Sus scrofa: one gene and its partner. The protein of the gene in region 1 purifies or fractionates together with the protein of each later gene. This does not show direct contact. Links are inferred from orthologs where the notes say so. Each region holds a gene or a part of one and is shown in the gene's direction. Other genes may lie near its edges.

Evidence for each region. Proteins that work in one complex are often made in the same cells at the same time.
Region 2: the proteins of TWF2 (region 1) and CAPZB purify together in Homo sapiens (co-immunoprecipitation; 3 studies listed by BioGRID and IntAct, with this or other methods). This does not show direct contact. The link is inferred for Sus scrofa from reciprocal best matches to the Homo sapiens genes TWF2 and CAPZB.

What each region holds. Positions count from the first base shown.
Region 1 is NC_010455.5:34,366,224-34,374,178, reverse strand, and holds the start of TWF2 (twinfilin-2), read left to right. Parts: upstream 1-3,181; 5' UTR 3,182-3,354; coding exon 3,355-3,379; intron 3,380-6,839; coding exon 6,840-6,917; intron 6,918-7,955. Other genes in the region: TLR9 (toll-like receptor 9), read left to right, coding at 3,355-3,379, 6,840-6,917. UniProt on the Homo sapiens protein: Actin-binding protein involved in motile and morphological processes. Inhibits actin polymerization, likely by sequestering G-actin. By capping the barbed ends of filaments, it also regulates motility.
Region 2 is NC_010448.4:77,782,217-77,789,595, reverse strand, and holds part of CAPZB (F-actin-capping protein subunit beta), read left to right. Parts: intron 1-3,606; coding exon 3,607-3,672; intron 3,673-4,201; coding exon 4,202-4,278; intron 4,279-5,263; coding exon of another isoform or gene 5,264-5,366; exon of another isoform or gene 5,367-5,374; intron 5,375-7,379. UniProt on the Homo sapiens protein: F-actin-capping proteins bind in a Ca(2+)-independent manner to the fast growing ends of actin filaments (barbed end) thereby blocking the exchange of subunits at these ends.

The sequences.
Region 1 (7,955 bases):
AACTCGGGATCCAAGCCGCGTCTGCGACCTACACCACAGCTCATGGCAACGCCGGATCGTTAACCTTCACTTCAATTTAAAATAAAGATAGGTGGGAAGTTTCCATTGTGGCGCAGTGGTTATCGAATCTGACTAGGAACCATGAGGTTGCGGTTTTGGTCCCTGCCCTTGTCCTCAATGGATACCAGTCAGATTTTTTTTCCACTGAGCCATGTCAGGAACCCCTAGACTTTTTTATTTACTTATTCTTTGGCTGCACCTGCAGCATATAGAATTTCCTGGGCCAGGGATCAAAACTGCACCACAGCAGTGACAACATGGAATCCTTAATTGCTAGGCCATCTGGGAACCCCAAGACTTAAAAAAATTTTTTTTTTTTGGTCTTTTGTCTTTTTTTTTAGGGCTGCACCCACGACATATGGAAATTCACAGACTAGGGGTTGAATCAGAGCTGTAGCTGCCAGCCTACACCACAGCCACAGCAACACGGGATCCAAGACGTGTCTTCGACCTACACCACAGCTCATGCTCCCTAACCCACTGAGTGAGGCCAGGGGTTGAATCCAGGTCTTCATAGATACTAGTCAAGTTCGATAACCACTTAGCCATGACGGGAACTCCAAGACTTTTAATTTTTAATGTAAATTAATTTGTTGGTTTCTTTTTTTTTATGATTTTTGGGCTTGGTGACATACTCAGAAGGACGTCTCCACTCCAAGATTTTACAATCTTCTCCCTTTGTTTCTTCAGAATTTTAATAGTTCACTGTTTTAAAAAAGCACATTTAAATCCTTGATACACCTGATAAAAAAACTATTTCAGTGGCTGACTTTGTGTGGAGAAACAGCAAGAAAAGAGAAAGCTGGAGTTCCTGTCATGGCTCAGTGGTTAACGAATCCGACTAGGAACCATGAGGTTGCAGGTTCAGTACCTGGCCTCACTCAGTGGGTTAAGAATCTGCCGTTGCCGTGACCTGTGGTGTAGGTTGCAGACATGGCTCGGATCCCGTGTTGCTGTGGCTGCGGCATAGGCTGTTGGCTGCGGCATAGGCTGTTGGCTACAGCTCCGATTAGACCCCTAGCCTGGGAACCTCCATATGCCACAGGAGCGGCCCTAGAAAAGGCAAAAGAAAAAAAAAAGAAAAGAAAAGAAAGGAGCAACCTACCTGTTCCTAGACACTCTGATCATCCCTGGACTCATTCGAGGAGCTGCATGCAGCTTTCTTATCTTTCTGCCTAAAACCGGATCTCAGCCAGAGATGGAGTCTGCTGGCCCTTGTGCTCCTCACTGCATCCTTGGTTTTGAAGCTGAGCAGAACTGGGCTCCAACCCCAGCTTCCAGGAAGTTCCTTTCTCTGGTTAAACCCTCATCACTGAGGTGTGAGATAGTGATGGAAGCAATGAGGGCCACTGCCCAGCAGGGCTTCTCATCGTTTGTTCCTTTTTCTCTTTTCCTTTCTTTCTTTTTCATTACAGTATAGTTGATTTACAGTGTTTTTTCAATTTCTGCTGTAGATCTGTTCCCGTTCCCTAAGTTAAGGAAACTAAGGTTCTTGGGGATACTCACTACCTTGTGACTTTGATCAAATCACTTTATCTTTCTGAACCTCAAATTTCTTCTGTAATGTATGTAACAACACATACATTACAGGACTTTCATAAGGACTGAATAAACGTGTCCAGCCATAGTAAGTGTGCAACACAAAGATTCTAATAGTTCATTCAGACATTGTTTTAATTTGGCAAATATATATATATATATATATATTTTTTTTTTTTTTTGCTTTTTAGGGCTGCACCCATGGCAATATGGAGGTTCCCATACTAGGGGTCGAACTGGAGCTACAGCTGCTGGCCTTTACCACAGCCACAGCAGTGCCACGTCTGAGCCATGTCTGTAACCTACACCACAGCTCACAGAAATGCCAGATCCTTAACCCACTGAGCGAGGCCAGGAAGTGAACCTGCAACCTCATGGTTCCTAGTCAGATTCATTTCCACTGCGCCACGATGGGAACTTCTAATTTGGAAAATATTACTGAACACCTACTAATCCTGGGCACTGTTCTAGCTGCTGGAGATACAGCAGGGGTAAAAACTTAAACTGGTGGAGGGAAGACAATAAACAAATAAGCGAGTAAATATATGTGCCAGGCAGGGATAAAAACAAAGAGAATGATGCAGAGTGGGGCCAACCAGGTAGGAGGGAGGACTTTGCAATTAAGGTAGTCGTGTAATTTATCCAGTGATGGACATTAGAATAGAGAACATAACCTTATTAGTTTTAGTTAATGTGTTTTCTTGGTTAATTCCTATTTCCAAGGAATTTTTTTTTTTCAGGGCCGCACCCATGGCGCAGGCATATGGAGGTTCCCAGGCTAGGGGTCTTAATGGAGCTACAGCTGCTGGCCTACACCACAGCCACAGCAACGCCACATCCGAGCCGCGTCTGGGACCTACACCACAGCTCACAGAAATGCCGAATCCTTAACCCACTGAGTGAGGCCAGGGATCAAACCTGCAACCTCATGGTTCCTAGTTGGATTCGTTTCTCCTGCGTCGCGAAGGGAATTCTGCAGTCTCCTCTTTTCAGAAGACTTTCCCCACCCCTCTGCCAGGCTTTCCTCCAGGTTTCCACTCAAATTTCACCTCCTCCTAACGGCCCCTTACCCTCTGCACAGGGCACTCGCCACCACAGACACTGTTCATTTGCGGGCTGTCTAGCAGAAAGTCAGTTTGGGCTCCCACCGTCAGGACGGGGCCTTCAGGCGCGTCGCCTCCAGGTGCCCAGGGCCACAGGAGCCGCCCAAGAAACGTCTCCAAGGAAAGAGATGTCACACAAACACACGGGTGCCCATTCACACACAGAAAAACCCCTTCCCCGCTTCAAGGCCACGCCAGGATGCTACCCATCTGCAAACCCACCTGGCCCCTGACCGGGACTCAGGCTTGCGCGCGCTCATATGGATACGCCCCAGCCACAGACCACTCGGATCCGGGTGTACTGACACACACGTGCATGCGCCCACACATGCTAGGCGGTACGCAGATCGCATTCTCCGCCAGAAACAAGGCAAGCGCAAGCGCGCGGAAACACCACTCAAAGCTCCTCCCTGGGCCCACCTGGAGCCAGGCGCCTACTGCACGCACGCGCGGCCTCGAGTCCCGGCCTCGCCCGTCGGAGGCGGGGCGCTCTGGGGGCGGGTCCTGCGGCACCGCCCGGGAAGCTGCGCGAGGCTGGGAGGCTACCGCCACATCCTCCTCCTCCTTCTCCTCCTCCCGGTCCAGACGAGCCGAGCTGGGTCGTGGCCGAGCCGAGGGCTCTGAGGGCGCAGGCGGAGCGGGGCACGGAGCCATGGCGCACCAGACCGGCATCCACGGTGAGGGCAGATGGCGGACGGACGGGGGGCCGAGGGAGAGTCTGAGGCTGCGCCCCCTCCTGGGCTCCCGGCCCCTGTTTCCGATCCGGCACCAGCCTAGGGAAGCTTCCTGTTCTCTTGCAGCCGTGGGTCGCCTGGGGTGGGCAAATCTTAGTGGGGTGCGGACTTACTGGGCATAGTTGGGGGTGAAGGTATCTCTGTTCCCATCCGGGGGTGGATGTGCCTGTGTGTGCCTATCTATGTATTTTTGTCCCTTTCTGGGAGTGGGTGTACCCGGATGTGCACATCTGAGGGAGTGAGCACGCATGTGCACTTGTATGTACGGACCTGTGTGCACATCTGGATATGACTGCTTGTGTACATCTAGGGTCATTCGTGCACATACAGCAATGTCTTGATTGGACACTGTTGCATGGAACCATCTTTAGACATCAGTGTTTCGTGACTGTATGCACATGTCTGTGGGAGTCTGTGTGTGTGTGTGCACGCACAATTTGAGTGCATCTCAGTGTTCATTTGTTACCATGGATGGGTGTTTGGTTTGTACTGCTTTATGTCTGTGTGAGAAGGGAGCCCCGACCTTTGGCTCCTCCCAGGACCCTCACAAACCAGCCTGGGAAAAACTAAATGGGATGTGGAGAGTCACCAATCTGACCTTGACCTCTGATCTCCTGAGTCTGCCCCAGCTGGTATTGGAAGGTCCCAGCTCCAGGCTGGAGGTAGGAAAGAGGCTCCTGACCCTAGAGATTCCAGGCCAGGTCCTCCTTCAGCCCAGAGCATCAGCCTCCTCTCCCAAATGGCTTGGTTTCCTCCTTATACAGGATGGGAAAGAAGCAATGACCAGGGGCCAGGTGTTCTGACCCTACCCAGGCCTCAATGTCCCCCTGTGTCACTGACCTGGGAGGGCTACCTGGCCTGTGGGGAAGGCCCAGGCTGCTTACCCAGGTAGCCCAGTGGTTTGGCCTTCAGCCATTCCTCCTACCACGCCAGGATCCTCTGCCTGGGGCCATCATCATCGACCAGCCTGACCACCTGGTCTGCTTGCGGTTGTGGCCGCTTGGTGGCTGGCCCTGAGAGGGTTTCCCTGGCCCCGCCCACAGGACCAGAAAAGGCAGAGGTCTGGGTCTGGGCCAGCTACTCTCCAAGAAGAGCTGGAGGGGCAGCTTCATGACTCAGCCCCACAGAAGGGAACAGCCCCTCACTGGACCTGCCCCTTCCTTCCCCTTTGTCTGATCGTTGCTGTCACCTCTAACTGGGAGGGGATCAGAAGTTAGGGCTCCTCCTCCCCTCTCTGGGCTGACCAGTCCTGTGGCCTGGGCCCTCCCTCACTCCCTCATTTCCCATATGCTGAGATGAGCCTGCCTAGGGGAATCTGGGGGCTGAACCCCTTTCCCAGCCCTCCTTCTGTGTGAGGGCAGCCCACTCCTTTCCATTTCTGGCCTGGGGAGGTGGCAGGAGAAATCACCCTGGATGCCCAGGTGCCAGCCCTGACCTGGCTATAAGTGTGGATCTGCTGACCTCAGAGCAGGGCAGGGGAGGGACCTGTAACCTGAGGCTTACTGGGTGGAGGGGTGGGGGGTAAGGCAGCAAGTGGGTGAGAGTAGGGGGGGCATGAATCTTTGATGATTGAGGCTCAGGTATCCCAGGCCTGGCCTCTGGATTATTGATGGTGGCTGAGGAGGCATGGAGGGGGATGTCTCTCCCACTACTGGGGTGTCAGTTTGTCCTGGTAACAATAGAAGCAGTAGGTCTGAGCAGGTGGAAGGAACAGCTCAGCACAGCCTGCCCCGCGTCATTACAGTAACACAAGTTAATGATTATTATTAGGAGAGGCCCCCGTTGCGGAGCACTGTCTCCTATTTACTCCTCAGCATTTGGGGAGTATTAGCCCCGTGTTATAGATGGGTTTGAGGTTCAGTGAGGTCAGAGGTCACACACAGCTACCGGAAAGGTGGAGCCCCAGAATCCAGGCTCTTCATCATGGACCAGCTTGGGGTCCACAGAGGAGCAGCTCTGTCCTGGCCCACTGGGGCTGTGTCCATGCCAGGCTGCTCTGAGCCCCAAGGGCCTGCTGAACTTAGCTGGGACCCTGCCCTCCCAGCAGCCTTGGAGGCTTGTATACAGCCTGAGGTCTCAGGCTCAGGGTCACCCTTCATGCAGGCCACCCGAGGACATGACCAGAGTTTGTTTTCCTAAAGGTCCCCCCGCCCCCGCCACACCCAAGCTGCCCAGTCTGGGCCCTATAAATATTCTCTGACCTCAGCCCTCCAGCTGTGCTCCTGCAGAATTCTCCTGACCCCTGGGCAGCCCCAAGGTCATGCTGGCCTGGTCCTGTGCACCCAGAGGCCCAAGCAGGGCCCTTCCCAACTTAGACCTTGGTTTCCTCATCTGAACCATCAGTGAATCTGTGACTTCTGTGGTTCCCTAGTTCTGACCACAATCCTCACCTCTGTACCTGGGTCCCTATTCATTGGCCATCACCTTCCAGCTCTGTGGCTCAGGGACCAAGACAGGGACTGTTTTGGAGAGTCTCCAAGAGCCATTCCTCTTCCCAGCTGCCGGGGGTAGGGGCTTATCACCCCCTGGTGGGGCTGAGCCAGGGTTGGCCTGCCTCCTCAGGGCCTCTCAGGGTTAGGCAGCCTGGCTGGTGGGCTGGGGCTGGGTATGCATGCATGCATGTGTCAGTGTGTACCTCTGTTTTTTTGGGTACATTTTGTACAGCTTCTCTCTTGCACACATATGTCAGTCACACTCTGCATTTGCCTGTCTGCGAATTTCCTAGCACCCTGGGGACTGTATCTGTGTGTGTGTACATTCGTACATCTAAATGTGTGTGTCCATTCGTACATCTAAATGTGTGTGTCCATTTCTGTTTGACCAGCTGAGAGTGTTTGCGTTTCTGTTCCTCTTTCTGTCGCATAGTGTTTATGTGTAACATTCGCATATGCTGGATTGGTATGTACCTATTGGCACATGCAATGTGCATTGCATGTGTGCATGTGTGTGTGTTTGCATGGGCATGTGTAGACAGACACAGTAATCAGTGCACATTGGGGGCAGTTGTTCATGTATTTCTCTCTGTGGATGTGACAGTCTTGGGAAGGTCCCAGGCCAGCTCAGTGCTGGGCTTTCCTGGGGGGCAGGAGATAGGTGGGGGCCATTCACTCTGGCTGGTTTGGCCTGTCCCAGAGCCCGCCCCCATTCTCGAGTGGGCCGTCCCACCCCTGCATGCCCTGTCAACGGAGCTCTCACAGCCAGCAGGCCGCCCGCCTGCCACCTCTGTTGGCTAAATTTGGGAGCTTGTGTTCAGCGGCTGTCTCGGGTTCCCAGTCACATGGGGGGCCGTATTTAACCCGGCTCCCAGCTCCACCACCAGACCCCCCAGGACGGAGCAGGCCCTGAGTGTCTCTGCCCATTCCCTCTGCCTGCTCCTCCCCCACCATGTTTCTTGTTCTTGTAGCCACCGAAGAGCTGAAGGAGTTCTTTGCCAAGGCACGGGCTGGCTCTGTGCGGCTCATCAAAGTCGTCATTGAGGACGGTGAGTGCCTCCTACGGGCGAGGGCACAGGCTGGTGGCTGGGCCCAGCTGCTTCTCTGGGAGGTGGGGGGATGTGGGTCTTTAGCCCCCTCAGGACCTCAGTTTTCCATCTGGGAATGGGAGATGCCGTGTCGGAGAGTCGGGGGGAGCCACCGTCATTATGCCTGTTGTACAGAGCCGGAAGCGAAAGCTAGGGAGGGAGCACAGAGAGCCCTGCCCAGGGTCCTCCCCGCCTCACAGAGGCTCCGAAGGTATCAGCAGGGCCGATTGGGAGGCTGGGCTGGGTGGGGCGTGGGGGCAGGGGATGACTTAGGACAGGCACTGACCCATGTGGCTAGTGCCACTCACCTTCCTCTGTGGTCGGCAGGCCTGCCTGGCTTGGCTAAGGCCCCGGGGGCATCCTAAGGCGAAGCTGGGGCCCTGCCCTTGGGAAGTGCCCTCACAATGGGGAGGAGGGACACGTGTCAGCCTCTTGGAGAATAGGACCAAGGGATTCCAGGCTTGGCTGGGCTTTGACCTGGACTCTGGGGACCTGGGGCTACCGCAAGGGGAGGTACTGGGGTATAGGGCTTGGGGGTGGGCGAGCTTGAGCTGAGGCTGAAGTGGGAAGTGGCTTTGGGGAGACAGAGGATTAGACTGAGTCTTGAGAGGGCTGGGGGTGGAGAAGTCCTGGGATAGAAAACAGCTGAGGGGCTGTCCCTGGAGGTGAGGGGTGACAGACTCCAGGAGTGTGGGTGGGAGTTCCCACTGTGACTCAGCAGGGTAAGAACCCAACTAGTAGCCATGAGGATGCGGGTTTGATCCCTGGCTCCACTCAGTGGGTTAAGGTTCCAGCATTGCCACAAGCTGTGGCTTAGGTCGCAGATGCAGCTTGGATCCAATGTGGCTGTGTTGTAGGGCGATAGCTGCATGTCTTCGACCCCCAGCCTGGGAACTTCCATATACCGCAGGTGCAGCCCTAAAAAGGAAAAAAAAAAAAAGGACTGGGGGTGGGCCAGACCCCCCACGAATCCTTCCAGCCCTTCTTGGTAGCCATGCC
Region 2 (7,379 bases), on another chromosome or scaffold:
CCCCCCTCCGGGCTGTGCTCACTGGAAAATGCCACACAGCCCTGGGAGATACCGTGCTTCCCGTTTGAGGAAAATTTCCTGCTTTCTAAACATTCACCCATGTTCTCTGAAACTCCAGGCCACAGAGGGGAGCAGAGGTGCTCGATGGGGACGAGCCGACTGGCTCTGTTGGAATCACCTTGTGGTAAATCTGTGCGACCACAGCACATAAAAATGTGTTCCTGTGGCAGCCACTTCTGTTTGGGTGGAATCATATCTGCGTTGCAGAAATAGTTCTGTTTATGGCGCGTCAGCATTACCAGCGAGCTGACCCTGACCAGGTGTGCGGGGAGTTGGCCAGGGTGCGGGCAAGGGGGCTGTGGAGATGTGTCTGCGGGCCAGGCTTCTGCCCCCGACGCAGCCCATCTCCTTCGTCCCCCCCTAGAGGAGGCCGAGCCTTCTCACCCACCCCCGGCCCCGCTGCCCGGAGCTCTTTTGCTCGGCTCACCCAGCAGTTCCAGCCTCTCCCTTTGTTGGACAAGGGCTCTGGATTCTGAAGCAGAGATGATACCCCAGGGGTTGGGTATCTGTCGTGAGTTTACTTATTACCCCTGATGGCCCTGAGCCCTTTGTCACCCATCCTGGACTCACTTGGGGTGGTTGGTGCTCATTTAAAATGGGGCCCTCATTGAGCTCAAAGCCTCGCTGTTTCCCGAGAGTCACCAGGAATCTGCTGCCTGCGTGGAGCTGGGGCGCCGGGAGGCGGGGGGAGGTGGGGGGAGACTGATGTGTGGAAAGACCTGGGTCCTTCGGACCAGACCCCCCGGCCCCTCCACACCCAGAAGAGCAGCTCTGAGCTGCGTGGAAACCGCTTCCACACGAGAAGGGAGAACACTCAGTGCCAGCACGTTGGTGCCAGAAGTGCCTTCAAGGACAGGTGGGCCAAACATCCTTCCCCTCGGGCACTCTCCCAGCCCTTTAACAGGCACCTGCTCCACTCATTGAAGCAGCAGGATTAGCTCAGGGCGCACAGCTCTGCCCAGGATGGGTGCTTATCACCCCAAAATGGTGGGGAGTGGCTTTTACTTTAAAGTTTGTGGGCACTCTCCCCTCTCCTATTCTGTGGGGACCCCTGGAATTTGAGGTTTGAGGAACCCCTACCCCACCCCCGGATTATGCCCAGAGAACCCAGTGCTGCGGGCAGAGCCGCTGATGGTTCTGGCGTCTCTCCCGCTCTCCCCTTGTACCCATCAGGCCAGACCTAACAAAACAGTCTTGCTGGAACCAGGCACCTTCGTTCTCAGACCGAGTCTCTTGACTTTGGAAAGGCCTTGCGAGGCCATAGGTTCCAGACTGTCACTCTACTCTGGACCCCTCTTGTAGCATCTTGACAACCCCACTTCTCAGACACCTCCAGGGGCTCATCACCCTATGAGCAGGCGCCTATTGCAGACAGCTCTGCCCGCCCCCCGCAGGGACATGGATTGTTTCTGGGTCTGATAAGTGACCCTGCCAATCATCTCGACCCTTGGGATGCTGTCAACAGGATCCCATGAACCCTTTCAGCTGGGTCTTCCTTTTAAGTCCTGGGCCAGCAGGTGGACCCAGGGCCAGGCAGAGAATCCCTGTAGGAGGCCCCCCTGGGAACTGACCATTGTCCAGCCCTGCTCCTCTGCCACGGCCACAGGACCTTGGGTGGGAAGCTGCCACAGTGGTGTGATCTCATTAGAGGGACCCTCTGTTCCTCAGCCCAGCATCCCCTTCCCAAGAGGAAATTGATTGTCATCGTGGAACGAGTTCGTGGGGAGCCTGTGCTAGCCCTTAGAGATAACGGATTTCAAAATGTGCTAACAGATGACTTTTAACTGTCCCATCCAAAAACTGTCACCTGGATCAGTGTCAAACTGGTGTTTAACTTCCAACTCTAATCTTCCTTCCGTTAGGAAGGCAGGGCCAGCCTCTGCCCTGCTCCAGTGTCCTGGCATCTCTAAGTGTGCTGTGATTTTGCAAGAATGTCTGTCACAGAATCGGGTTTGTCTGACCCTGGACGTTTAATCATTTAAAGTGACTCGGTTCTCTCCTGCCGTCTGCTGGCGGCTTTTCTCCCTCTTAATTGGGTCTCTTCTACCCTTCCTGGCCTGAAAATCATTCTCCCTGATGGATGAGAGAAGTTAAAAATGGGCGAGGAGCAGCAGGCCTTTAGCCTCTGATCACACCCCATGCACCCCAAGCATCTGTTCTGCTCTTCAGGTTCTGGAGCGAGTTCTCCTCTCACCTTGGCTCTGCCGTCTTCACTGGTCGGAATTCACTTGAGCTCTAGCCTTCCTGACCCAGTTCTTTTCATACTGTTCCTTTTTCTTTTTTCTTGGTTGTGACATGCTGAAGTTTCGGGGCACGGGGGGAGCTCCCATTGTGGCGCAGCAGAAACAAAAGGACTAAGATTCATGAGGATGCAGCGTCAATCCCTGGCCTCACTCAGTGGGTTACGGATAGGACGTTGTTGTGAACTGTAGTGTAGGTTGAAGATGTGGCTTGGATCCTGCTTTTCAGTGGCTGTTGTTTAGACCGGTAGCTGTAGCACCGATTCAACCCCCTAGCCTGGGAACTTGCATATGCCCCAATAAGTTGTTTCTGGGCCATGGATCGAACCTGTGCCACAGAAGTGACAGTGCCAGATCCTTAACTCACTGAGCCACCAGGGAGCTCCATTCATCCTGCTCCTTTTTTTTTTTTTTGTCTTTTTGCCTTTTCTAGGGCCACTCCTGTGGCATATGGAGATTCCCAGGCTAGGGGTTGAATCGGAGCTGTAGCCACCGGCCTACGCCAGAGCCACAGCAACGTGGGATCCGAGCCGCGTCTGCAACTTACACTACAGCTCATGGCAACACTGGACCTTTAACCCACTGAGCGAGGCCAGGGATTGAACCTGCAACCTCATGGTTCCTAGTTGGATTCATTTCCACTGCGCCACGACGGGAACTCCCATCCTGCTTCTTGATTACCTAATTTCAGCTTCTTTATTTTATTTCGGTTACAGTGGTGACAGCAGCCATGGTTCCACTCAATTCGGTAGCAGCATTCGTGCGCTCAGCACTCTGCTGGGCACCTGTGGGGTGTAGCTCAGGTTCATGTGCTCTTAAGGAATGGATCCTCTTGCGAGGGAACAGGCCTTGGACACGGGAGAAGTGGCGAGCTCTGCGACGTGCCTCCACGCTCCTGTCGGGCTTTGCTTCTCTCCCTGCCCCCTTTCCTCTCGGTATTCAGAGGATGGATCACTGGGCCAGAACTGACTGCCTGACTCGCTGGGTCCTACCTCCTCTAAGGCTCCGCCTGCCCCCGTCATAACTAGGGACCTGGATTAAGATTTTCTGATTCAAGGTCCCCTCGGCTCCCCTCGTCTCCACCGGAGACCCCTGAGGAGTCTCTGCTCAGAAGTGGGGACTCGGGGCTTCTGCTAGCTGGACTGTTTATGACCTGAAACTTGAAAGTCATTTCGTGTTTGGGTCCCCCACTGGCAAAGCAGCCTTGCCCCCGACAGCCAGCGGGAAGTGAGGGCTCCGTGCTGTCGGCAGAGGCTGCCCCCCTCACCGGCTCTCTGACTCGGAGGGGTGTTTCTGTGTCTTGCAGATGGAGAAGGATGAGACTGTGAGCGACTGCTCCCCGCACATAGCCAACATCGGGCGCCTGGTAGAGGTGAGTGGGCCCCCTGCAGCCGCGGTTCGCCTCCCCGGCGTGTGGCGTTTCGCTCCTGGAGCCTGTTTGTGGGGCTCAGCTCCGAAGGCACACCCTCCAGTGCCCCCCAAACGCATGCTCCAGAAGCCTTAGATCCTGTCTCCCTGGGTCCACTGGGCGCACAGGGAGACCTGAGCTTGGAAAGAAGGCAGGTGGTCCTGGGGGCACCAGGGCTCTGGAGGCGCCTCGGCTTCCCCTTCCCCTCAGCGCCTGGAGGAAGAGGCTCCCTCCAGCTTCACTGACTTGTTCGTGGTGTCGGCAGGGCTCGGGGTGGTGATGTGGGTTAGACCAGCTCCCAGGAATGCCAGGACCTGGGTCCGAGGAAAGGAAGGCGCCCAGAGTTAGAAGCGAGGTCTCGGCCGCCAGCCTCCCTCGCTGGCTTTGGCGCAGGCATGCGTCCCCACCCTGTGGTCACAGCAGGGACTGCAGGGATGCAGGTGGGGGGAAGGAGGGCACGGGTCCCACCCGTCTGACTGAGCTCCCTTTCCAGGACATGGAAAATAAAATCAGAAGTACGCTGAATGAGATCTACTTTGGAAAGACGAAGGACATCGTCAACGGGCTGAGGTAATGTACCAGAAGCACAGGCTTTGGAACAAAAAAGATGCGCTTACCAGCTCTCTGGCCTTGGGCCTCAGTTTCCTCATTTGTAGAACAGGGCTGTCAATGCAGATTTAGACGATCGAGCAGCGCCTCTTGAGGAGGTGTCGGTGCCGCAACGGGGCACATCACCCTTACCGGCACTGGGGTCCTCACCCCGGGAGTCACCTCCTCGGTCCCCAGGCCTGTGGGTCCCACCTGCAGAAGCTGCCCAGCCCCTTGGGCTCTGCGGCCTGAGGACCCCTTCACTCAGACCCTAAGGGGCGCAGGGAGTGGTGCTATGGCTGCCGGTTGGCTGGAGCTCAGGGCTCTGTTGGCCGCCCCTCCCCACACATCTTGTGCCCTCGGGGGGCTGGCTGGGTCCTCAGAGTCATCGTGGGCAGGGCAGGAGGCCAGAGCCCCCTTGGAGGCAGCCCCAACGCGGCCTGCTGTGCGGAGTGAGCACCAGCTTTGGAGTCAGGGGGCTGGGATCTCCTGCAGGCTCTGTCACCCTGAGCTCTGTGACCTTCAACCGGTCACTCCTGTCCATGGCCCTCTGCCCGCCCAGGAGCAGGGCTGCTGAAGGGAGGCGGTGAGAGGAGCCTGGCTGCAGCTCTGCTCCACTCCAGAGTCCCGCAGCTTTGCCTTCCCCTGGCCATGGAGCCCTGAGCTTCCTGGCCTGGGGTCCCTGCACCAGCCACGGCAGACACACCCGGCCAGCCTGCAGGTCCTCTGGTGATGGCCAGAGAGTCAGAGAGGGCCGCAGGGAGCTTGGCGGGTAGAGGTCTGAGTCCCTGAAAACCCTGACCAATGCCGGCGAGAGCTCCACGGCCATGGCCTCCACCCATGGCCTCCACACCGTGCAGCGGATGCCCCCTCTATCCCCCATACTTCCCCTGAGCTGCCGCCCCGCCCTGTGCCCCTGGGTCCGAGCGCCCTTCTTGCCGCGCTCATCTCTGCACGCTCTCTGTAGATCTGTTGACGTTATCCCCGACAACCCCAAGTTTCAGCAGCTGCAGAGGGAGCTTTCCCAAGTGCTGACACAGCGCCAGATCCACATCCAGCCTGATAACTAAGCCGCCAGGTACCCTGCCTGAGAGGCCTGAGCGCCCGCCCCACTAAACAGGACTCACCAACCCGCCGAGACCCCGCCGGAACCTTTAAACACCACTAACCCCGTTAATGTGTAGACTCGACCCCCGTAACACAGACCCGAATCACGTGTGTGGTGTGTGTGCTTTGCACTCTGGGGGCATGGACGGGGCCGCCTGGGCTTTAGCTCCTCAAGATGCCAGCCTGGGGGTTGCCTTGGCCTCAAGCACAAGCCACCTGCCTGTGCTGCCGTGATTGGCGCAGAGCGGGGGTCTGCACCCTGCCTTCGCTCAGCCGGCGGCTTCGGGCGACCTCTGAATCTGCTGTGTGTGCACCCAGTGCCTTGCCAGCTTTTCAGTCCGGGATCCCAGAAGCCCATTAGGCCCCTTGTCACTGGGAGATTGACCGGGGCTAGCCGACTTAAAGGGGGCCTATTGCCCCAAGTCTGAGGACAGAGCACAGTGGGGCTGTCATCCCCCAGTTGGGCCTGGTCACCCCCAGACTGGGTGCTCCCAGAGCCGCCAGGACCAGTATAACCCTCCGCACCTAGAGAGCTGCAGCTGTCCTCCGAGATGCCTTACGCTGATGGAAAGGAAAGTCCTCTTGCTTGTTGACTATGGCCAAGAACCGTGGCTTGAGCCTGTGACAGATACAGACGCAGGAAGGCAGTCGGCCTCCCTGGAGAGGAGGGAACTGGTCTTAATAGAAGGCGTTTGGGAACCCAGCCAGGCGGGGCTGCAGAGCCTGGGGTTAGGGGCTGCCTCTCAGGCCCAGGGCTGGACAAGGAGGCCCCGACCCAGAAGAGGCTCAGTGGGGTTTCTGGGGTGGGTGGGGCTGGGGGCCCTTGTGTGGCCAAGGAGAGCTGCTGCTCTGCGTGCGTAGGTCTGTGTGTGTGCCAGCTTCAGCCTGGGGTGCTCATGCTGGGACGTCCCCTTCCCATCACAGCAGGAAGAAACCCCCTTTTAAGGCATTCGCTATAGCATAGTTTTCTCTCCAGCTCCTCAGCTTTTAGGGTGGGTCTGGAATCTTCTGGATCCCTTGCCTTGGCCAGTTCAGTGACTGCCCACTGGAGACTTTTCAGCATAGACACCCCCCCACCCCCCAGCAGTGGGCAGCCTGGCACCCACTGTCTAGGACAGGTGCTCCCTTCCCACACAGGTCAGCGCGTCCTCTGGGCATTGGTTCCGGGTTGCTTTTGCCGTGGCCTTCCTGAGCTCGGTCCCCCATGCGAGTGCTCTGCTCCTTATACCTCCAGCTGTTCCAAGCCTAACCTCTTGTCTCTCACCTGATTCTAACTCTGGAAATGTCTCCTTGGGGGGAGGGGCGGGGGTGGGGGCAAGGAACAGCCCAGACCTGACGTGCTCCTTCCCAGAAGAGCCAACCTCCCCCCCTGTGGCCCTGGAGCCAGATGAGCCTCCGGCTCGCCCACTGTATCCTCCCATAGGGCGTGTTAACCTCCCACGGGGAACTTCCCAGAAGCCTGTGGCAGGCGAGCTGAGGTTTGGAGCCTGAGGGCCGCTAGGGCTGGTGTCTGAGCCCTTCTTTGACCACCAGAGCAGTGCAAATACTCAGAAATGTGTATTTCAGCAGCATCAACCAATTTTTTAGTTGCACAAAATCTTGTGTTTGCCACCCTCTACCATTCTGAGGGCACTACCCGGGATGCTTCTAGGATTCAGGAGCCAGAATCCCACGTGGGACGCTCTTGTTCCCACCGGGCCCTTCGTCATTGTACTTCCTGCGTGTTCAGCGCTGGGGGATTTGTTTTTGGTCCCACCTTCCCGTGCTCTCTCACGGCCAGTGCTGTCAACTTGAGTCCGCTGGCTCCACAGCATCCCTGCAAGGCAGCCTCCCACTCTCTCCTTCCACTGACTTGGAACTGGTAGAAAGTTTGTAAATAGTTAGTATTCCTGGTTCACCCACACATTGGGTACATTTGATAAAGTGATCATTCTGGTCCTTGCTGGGGCATGTCTCTGAGCCTCAGTTTCTTCATC